Linked DNA regions of Sus scrofa. The protein of the gene in region 2 purifies or fractionates together with the protein of the main gene of each other region. This does not show direct contact. Links are inferred from orthologs where the notes say so. Each region holds a gene or a part of one and is shown on either strand. Other genes may lie near its edges.

The links. The genes of interacting proteins can lie anywhere in the genome.
Region 1: the proteins of BTF3 (region 2) and CTNNB1 purify together in Homo sapiens (affinity purification with mass spectrometry; 3 studies listed by BioGRID). This does not show direct contact. The link is inferred for Sus scrofa from reciprocal best matches to the Homo sapiens genes BTF3 and CTNNB1.

What each region holds. Positions count from the first base shown.
Region 1 is NC_010455.5:25,163,400-25,167,145, forward strand, and holds the start of CTNNB1 (catenin beta-1), read left to right. Parts: upstream 1-895; 5' UTR 896-1,043; intron 1,044-1,067; coding exon of another isoform or gene 1,068-1,488; intron 1,489-3,746. Other genes in the region: basic proline-rich protein-like, read right to left, coding at 1,068-1,488. UniProt on the Homo sapiens protein: Key downstream component of the canonical Wnt signaling pathway.
Region 2 is NC_010444.4:82,659,292-82,663,037, reverse strand, and holds the start of BTF3 (transcription factor BTF3), read right to left. Parts: upstream 2,548-3,746; 5' UTR 2,433-2,547; exon of another isoform or gene 2,327-2,432; coding exon of another isoform or gene 2,195-2,326; intron 1,852-2,194; coding exon 1,783-1,851; intron 1-1,782. UniProt on the Homo sapiens protein: When associated with NACA, prevents inappropriate targeting of non-secretory polypeptides to the endoplasmic reticulum (ER).

The DNA of each region.
Region 1 (3,746 bases), on a different chromosome or scaffold from region 2:
TCTGTAAGAATTAACCTAGTTGACAGGGCTCTAGAGCTAGTCCATTTCTATCAGTCATTTGTTCACAGTAGGGACTAAGGACTTGTTGAATTGCGGGCTAGGCGCCCGTTCTAACACGAGTTCAGTCTTTGGGATTGGGTTAACAGGAGGCTCGGCCCGGTACTTCACTTCCAGATTCAAGCCGGTAGGGATGCGGAATCTACGATTCAGACCGTGGAGGTAATGTGCGGCTCGGCTAGGAGCCAAGTCCTGCAGAGAGCTTGGGGCCCAGACCGCAAAGACGGCGAAAGCACGATCGCGCCGGGGTCCCTCGACTTGCATAGGGGCAGCAGCAGCGCCCGGCAGCGCCGGGAGCGGGCGGGCCCCGACCTCAGCACTGCGGTTGGCCCGGTCCCGAACTTCCGCCCTCCTGGGACCTGTGCCGCTCGGCCTCGTAGGGCCGGGGTCCGGGTGCCGCCTCCCACGGGCAGCAAGCGGCCAGTCCAGCGTCCGCTCTCTTGGCACTGGACGAGTGAGAGCCGGGGGGCTTCGGGATCCCGATAGTGGAGAATTTCGGGGTCGCCCTCCCCCAGCCCATCCCGGCCCGCGGGTGCCCTGGCCGCCCCATCTCGGCCGACAGCGCCTTGGCGGATCTGTCCTGCGGTCCCGCGCGGCCCGGCAGCCGCCGGCCTCTAACCCCCGGGAGCGCCCGAAGAGCTCGCAAGCGCCCCGCCCCAGCCCGAGGCGGGCGGCTCGGCGGAGCGGGGACTACTTTCCGCCGCCCGCCCGCGCCCCGCCCCTTGTCCTCGCGCGGCGGAACGCTCCGCGCTGCGCCGCTGGCGGCAGGATACAGCGGATTCTGCGCGACTTATAAGAGCTCCTTGTGCGGCGCCATTTTAAGCCTCTCGGTCTGTGGCAGCCGCGTTAACCCGGCTCCGGGAGCTGAGAGCGAGGGGAGGCGGAGACGGAGGAAGGTCCGAGGAGCAGCTCCGGTCTCCGCCGAGCCGCCACCGCAGGCCGAGGACGGTCGGACTCCCGCGGCGGGAGGAGCCTGTTCCCCTGAGGTGCTTGGGTGCTCCTTTCCTTACCCTTCCGGGGCTGCTCCCGCTCCTCTTCGGAGCCAAACTTCGTCGCGGGCGCGCGGTCCCGGCGGCGGCTGGAAGCCGGGCCCGGTGCAGCCCGGAGGGCCGGGGTGGGGAGCTGGGGGCTGACTGGGGGCGCCGGGGAGGCGGCGGGGGCGGGCCCGGCCCGAGGGGCGGAGGGCGGCGGCCGGGCCCGGGTTCCGGTCGCGCGGCTCTTTGGGGGCCCCGGGTTTGCCGCTTGCGGGGAGGGGGCGCCGCGAGGGCGCGTTCGGGAGCTCCGTTGTCTGGCGGGGGATAGTAGGGGGGTCTGTGGTTTCCGTCCCGGGCTCCGGCCGCGGCCGAGTTTGGGGGAGGGACCCTGCGCCTCTGGATGCGCCGGGGCCGGGGTGGGGGGCGGGGTGGGGACGGGGGACTCCGCCTTCCGGGCCTTCAAGGGGAGTTGGGGTACAGGCGCTGGGCCTGGGACCCGAGGTCCCATCTGCCATGAGGAGAGGACCAGTAGACTTTCTCTTCAGAGTCCCTCTTTCGTGCTTAAGGACGAATTAAGAGAATCGTTAGTATTATTTTAATGCTCTGCTGGTGTGTTTGGTTTTGGCTCCTGTTTAAATCGGAGCAACTTTAAACCGTAGAGGATCCAAACTATTATTGCAGACGGAGCGATGCTCCAGGAGGAGTTGCACAAATAAAATCCATATCTAGCACCTTTATTTTCTTGTACGGTGCAGGTGAGTGAAAGCAGTGTGCAAGGAAGGTCCTGGGAAAAATAAGGGCGAGGGCGACTGGCTTACTGTCTCTTACCAAGTGACCCGCCGGACTCAGCCTCTGACTGCTTCGAGAATTTTGTTCGTGGAAATTCTTTATTTAGATAATTTCATGCCAGCTAAACTTGATTTTGAGAGCACTTTCCAGCGAGATGAATTTTTCCCTCGCTACGAAATTGCCCGAAGGAAATTCAAGCGTTGCAACTTCGTTCCGTGTTTTGTCTGGGGCGAGGACTTGGAATGCAGTTTCGAAGTTCAGTTCTCAAAGCCCGCTACTGGATCCGCTAAACTTGAAAGCTTTGGCAGTTGGGTGTAGTTGATTCCTTCGTTTTCAGTTCCCTGTTGGAGGGAGCATTGTCTCCTACTTTGTATCTTCCAGACATCTGTGGTCTCCCCTCCCCCCCGAGTTTGTGAGTGGTGAATGAGGAGACTGGCCTGCTGGTATGCAGAGGTCCGCAAAAGGAAATCGAGGAGTGGTTTTAGTGAAACGAGAGCTTTGTGTCGTGAATAGTGGTGGCTTAGACTAGACAGCAACTTGAAGCGACGGCTAGCCTTTGATAAAGTCTGGACTGATGTTTTTCAGATCGCTGAGTTATAAAGTATTTTGTCTGGAACTTAGGAAGCCATTTCGTTATTGTCCCTTGGTGTGCATTCAGTACCTTCAGCTATCTTCACCTTAACTTGTCTTCAGAAATGTTGGACATAGCTTGAAATATTATTTACCATAATGCTACTGTTTAGTATCTGCTTAAATCAGTGACAAAAACATACTTTGGAGGGTTTTTTGTGGGTTTTTTTTTTTTTTTTTTTTTTTTTGTCTGAACTAAGGCGATGGCTGCATTTATTTTACTTTTACATTTAAACCCACAAAATCTCTGGGTTAAAAAAAAAAGTGCCATTAACGTTTGAGAATATCCTTGCACAAAATTTGATTAATTTGCACCCAATATTCATTACTTTGACCTAGTCTTTGTTCTAAAGGCCATGTACAAGGCCCTAAAGTGATTGCAACAGTAACTCGAAAAACTTGCAGAAGACTCTTCTATAGGATTAAAGGAATGCTGAGACTATTCAAGTCTAAGGTCCTTGAGGGGGAAATAAAAAAACTAAACTAGAAAGTTTAGTATAGCATGTAGCTTAGAGCCCTTGTGGAGTTCTAGGCTTAGATTTTTCCATAGGCTAGAATAATCATTTAAGATAGCTTTCAGGAAAAACCAATTTTTAAAAATAAAGTGGCAAAAAAAAGGACAAAAAAGAAACATTTAGCAGTGTTCAAGTGTCAATAGGTATTCAAGAGTTTTCTTTTGAAACGTTATCCGACTACTTCCTCTACCAAGATAATTATGTAGAAAAGTATGGATCCCAGTATTAAAACATAAGCTGAATTGAACTTCCTACTGTTGCCAGTGATGACTGGAATAAAAATTATCCATGTAAGTGAAGTAGTGTATTTTTGTTTTCATAGATACTTCCCTCCTCCACCCCCCCCCATAGGAAGGAAAACATGAATTAGGCATATTTCTCTAAGGGTATTTTGAGATTTGGTCTTTCAGGAAAACTATCTGCAAATACTGTTTTTTTTTATTGGGAGGGGTGAAAAGAGGAGCAGAAGTATTATTAAAACTGGGGATGTGGAGAATTCAAAAGTTTGATTCTCTGTCATTAAAAGTAGCAGTGAGATTAAAACCCTAGATATGGACTATATAAGTATCTTCAGCCAGTGAAACTTGTGTTATTGAAATAATACATCTATCCAGTTACAATAGGATTTTGTTTCTCTCTTCATGATTTACTAGTTACTGATAATAATTGTAGAGGAGTAGGTGGTAAATTTTAAGTTTGTACTTTGAGCTAGGGTGGAAGCATGCTTGATTGCCAACCCAGGACAAAAAAGGATGAATGCATTTAGAGCAGGGCACCTTCT
Region 2 (3,746 bases):
ATATTACAATGATGACAGAAACACTTTTTTGTCTTTTCTAGGGGTGCTCCTGCGGCATATGGAGGTTCCCAGGCTAGGGGTCTAATAGCAGCTGCAGCCACCAGCCTACGCCAGAGCCACAGCAACGCAGGATCCAAGCCCCATCTACACCACAGCTCATGGCAATGCCAGATCCTTAACCCACTGAGCAAGGCCAGGGATTGAACCTGCAACCTCATGGTTCCTAGTCGGATTTGTTAACCACTGAGCCACGACGGGAACTCCAGAAATACTTCTTATACTAACTAAACAATTAAAGTTTAAGCCTACATCGGTCTTAAGAATCCCAGAAAATCTGGACTTTCCTTTACCCTAGAATGTCTCTCACAAGACTAAAGATCAGAGTAACGAAAAAAGAAGGCACACAAGCCTATTAGTCAAATGACTCCTTCTAAAATCTGCACTGAAAGGAATGATGGTTAAAAATACCAGTATAAGAGCATGCAAACACTAACCCACAAAGAATATGAGTTCTCCTGGCACTCAAAGGCCACATCTAATTTATAATAATTGCTAAATAGAACAAGAAACACCTACTGTTGTTAATGGGTAGGTGCTGATATTAAAGACCAGCTTCAGTGAGGGGGAAAAAAAGGGGGGGTCCAATACTTTCACTGCTGGAAAATCCTGTAATTAACAGAGGTACAACTTATTACTTAAGTCTAAGTGCAACTTCTGGCTATTTCACAGTGGACTCTATTTGAAGGTAAATGTCTACAGCTGGGAAAAACTAATAGATAATAAATTTTTTAGTATGAAAACATTACAAGTTTTATCAGGTAAAGACATGCTCTGTTCCAACAGGCTACCACACCTTGTTAAATACTAGGAATGTGCTAACACAATGTGAAATACAACTAGGTAGACTTCTGTCTTAAGTGAACTTTTAAGTAAATTAGAAAACCTGAAAACTTACCATGTTCAAAAAATAAACCCCCTGAAGGGGACAGTAGCCACCAGGAAAAATCAATTAACTAAAATCTGAGCGATTAAAAACCCACCATTCTCATTCCTTCAGTTTTAGTGTAATTACAAAGTTAAAATAGAAATATATCTGCTTAGGCAGTATTTCCAAATCCACAGTCATCGCTCTTATATCACAAAATGTACCTATAAAAATGACATTTTCAAATATCCTGGAAAATATACAACTACTCTAGGTTACATTTAGCTAAGAAAGGACCACAGAAAGGCCTTAATTTACAAGAGACGTGAACTTTCAACTATTAAGTAGTTATCCAGAACCATACACTAAAGTTGAAAAGATAGGTGATACTTAAATTCAGTTAGCATAGTTACTAAAAAAAAAAAATCAAGCACTAGCTATATATAACTTAGGCTATAAAGCCAATGACAAAACAAGTCAAGGGTATAACTGGCCACAATGATGATCTAACTGAAATGACACATTTTCTTTCTTATTAAATCAGACCTTTTGTTCTACCTAAAACACTGTAACACTGAAAAAAAAAAAACCTACATAAAAACAAAGGCTGCTGTTTAAGTGCTCTCTTCATCTCTATTCGCTTGCATTTTTTTCTTCTAATTTACAACCTGTGCCTCTCAAGGATACACTACATTGTATATCTAATCTAATCCTGCCACTCCCTTCACTTGATTTGCTAGCTGTGAAATGCCCTCTAGAGACAAAGTGACAAGCCAATTATATTAGAAACGCAAAAGAGGAAAAAAATCCTAAAGAAACAACCACAAACAACCTCTCCCCACACTATGAAAACTTACTTTCCCACCAATGCGCACTTGTGCCTGCAGTTTGGCGAGTTTCTCCTGGTTCATGATAGTTTCTTTCATCTAGAAAAACAGGAAACCCTCAGCGAGGAAAAGGTCTAGTGCATTCTAGCCTTCCATGCTCGTTATTTCCCAAGGCACCAGCAGAATAAATGTCCTACACAGGCCGAGGCCTGGATCCCAAACCCACCCGCCAAGCTCCCAAATTTCCGGTTCGAGGGAGCCCAAAGCGCACCCGCTTTCCTATCCCTCCCCCACAACTCCTCCCCTCTTTGCTGGCCCAGAAAAAGGGCTGTAACCCACGCCTGGTCAGCGCCCCAACCCCCACCCCCACCCCGGCCCCGGCCCGGCCTCGGCCTAGCCAGGGCCTGCCCAGCCCGGCCACTCTCCGCAAGCCTCGCGGTACCTGAGGCTCCTGTCCTCGGGTTCCGCCGCGAGGTGGAGGAAGAGACGGCGTCGCCTCGCCCCCAGGGCAGCCGCCCCTGGCCCGACCTCGACCCCGAGAGTCAGCCTGAGTGGGTGCGCCTGTCCGTCGCATCGCCTTCCTCTCCTCAGCCCTGTCCCTCCCTGTCTCGCTCCTTCCGGGCACTTCCCGCCCCCGTTCCCGTCCTCCTCCCACGCCGGCGTCCAGAGCCTTTTTGTACCTTGTTGGAGTGGAAATGGGGTCGCGCGGGGGACTAGGGTTGGCGCTCAGGAGGTCTCGGGCAGACCAGCTGAGATAAGGCGCACACACGCGGGGACGCAAGATGGCAGCTAGAGGGAGGCCGGAAGTGACGCAACGCCCCTTCCTCCAAAAGTCAGGAAACAGACTTTGCCGCGAGCTCAGCGCCTGACTGCGCACGCGCGGGCTCAGGCCGCCGGGTTTGTGACCGTCGCTTGTGGCCCTCCTGTCCTCGTCCAGCACTCGCCGGGTGGAGACCGCACGAGAGACTGGGCTGGAAGCACCGCGAGTGGCCCTAGGAAATGCTATGGAGGGGTCAGAGAGCACGGTGCTTTGCACAGTTAGGGATGAGTAAGTCAGCCCTGTGTCCTTGGGCCAGAACCCCGAGTCCTTTCCGAAGAAAGGGCCCGTCACGTTTTCAGAAACCATTGAGGCGCCCCGAGCGTGCTCATCTGTTTCGCCGCTCTCTGCTCGCTGGGTGGTGTAGGTTGCAGCGATCATTGGAATGTTTTATTTAGAATTCCCCCTTCGGCCCGATTGAGCCTTTACCCAGACTTTTGTGGGAAAAAAAACGACTGATGCTTTGGTAGGTTGCAGGAACAGGTTCAGAATTTCTGGGGAGCGTTTCAAAATGCAGACCTGAGCCCTACTTCTCAGCGATTCGGTCCGCCTAGGGATGGGACCGGGTAATCTGCATTTCAGCGAGTGTAGCCAGTGGCTAACCACCTTAATCCAATGAACATGATTACCTTGCTTCTGAATCACAAAAAGTTGACTCCCTGATACCAGGTGGTATGGATTTGATGATTAGTGATTCACAGTTGAACGAATTTTTCCTTTCTTAACTGAGTAATTCAAAGGAGAATTTGTGCCCGGTGTGTATGGGGAGGTTAACCTGATGGAGTTAAAAACTTCTAAACACTAGGACAAGCTTTAAGATAATCTTAAAACAACCGATATTAAAAATGGCAGTTTAGGAGCTCCCAGGTGGCCACAGTTGGTTAAGGATCCTGCGTTGTCACTGCAGTTCCTCCGGTTGCTGCTGTGGCACAGGTTCAATCCCAGGTTGGGAATTTCCACATGCCAGAGGCGGGCCTGAAAAAAATACTCATTTTTTAAAATGGCACTTGAAGTCATAGTGCTGTCTGATCAGCTTTTTTATGGCCTTAGCTATGAAAATCCTTTGTATATTCAAAACGGAGTCAGAAATCTAAACTAGAGAAAATAAAGCGAGAAAACTTGGGTAGGTGCAGATTTCACTCAATTAAGATTAATATTTTTGTTTATGAATACTTAT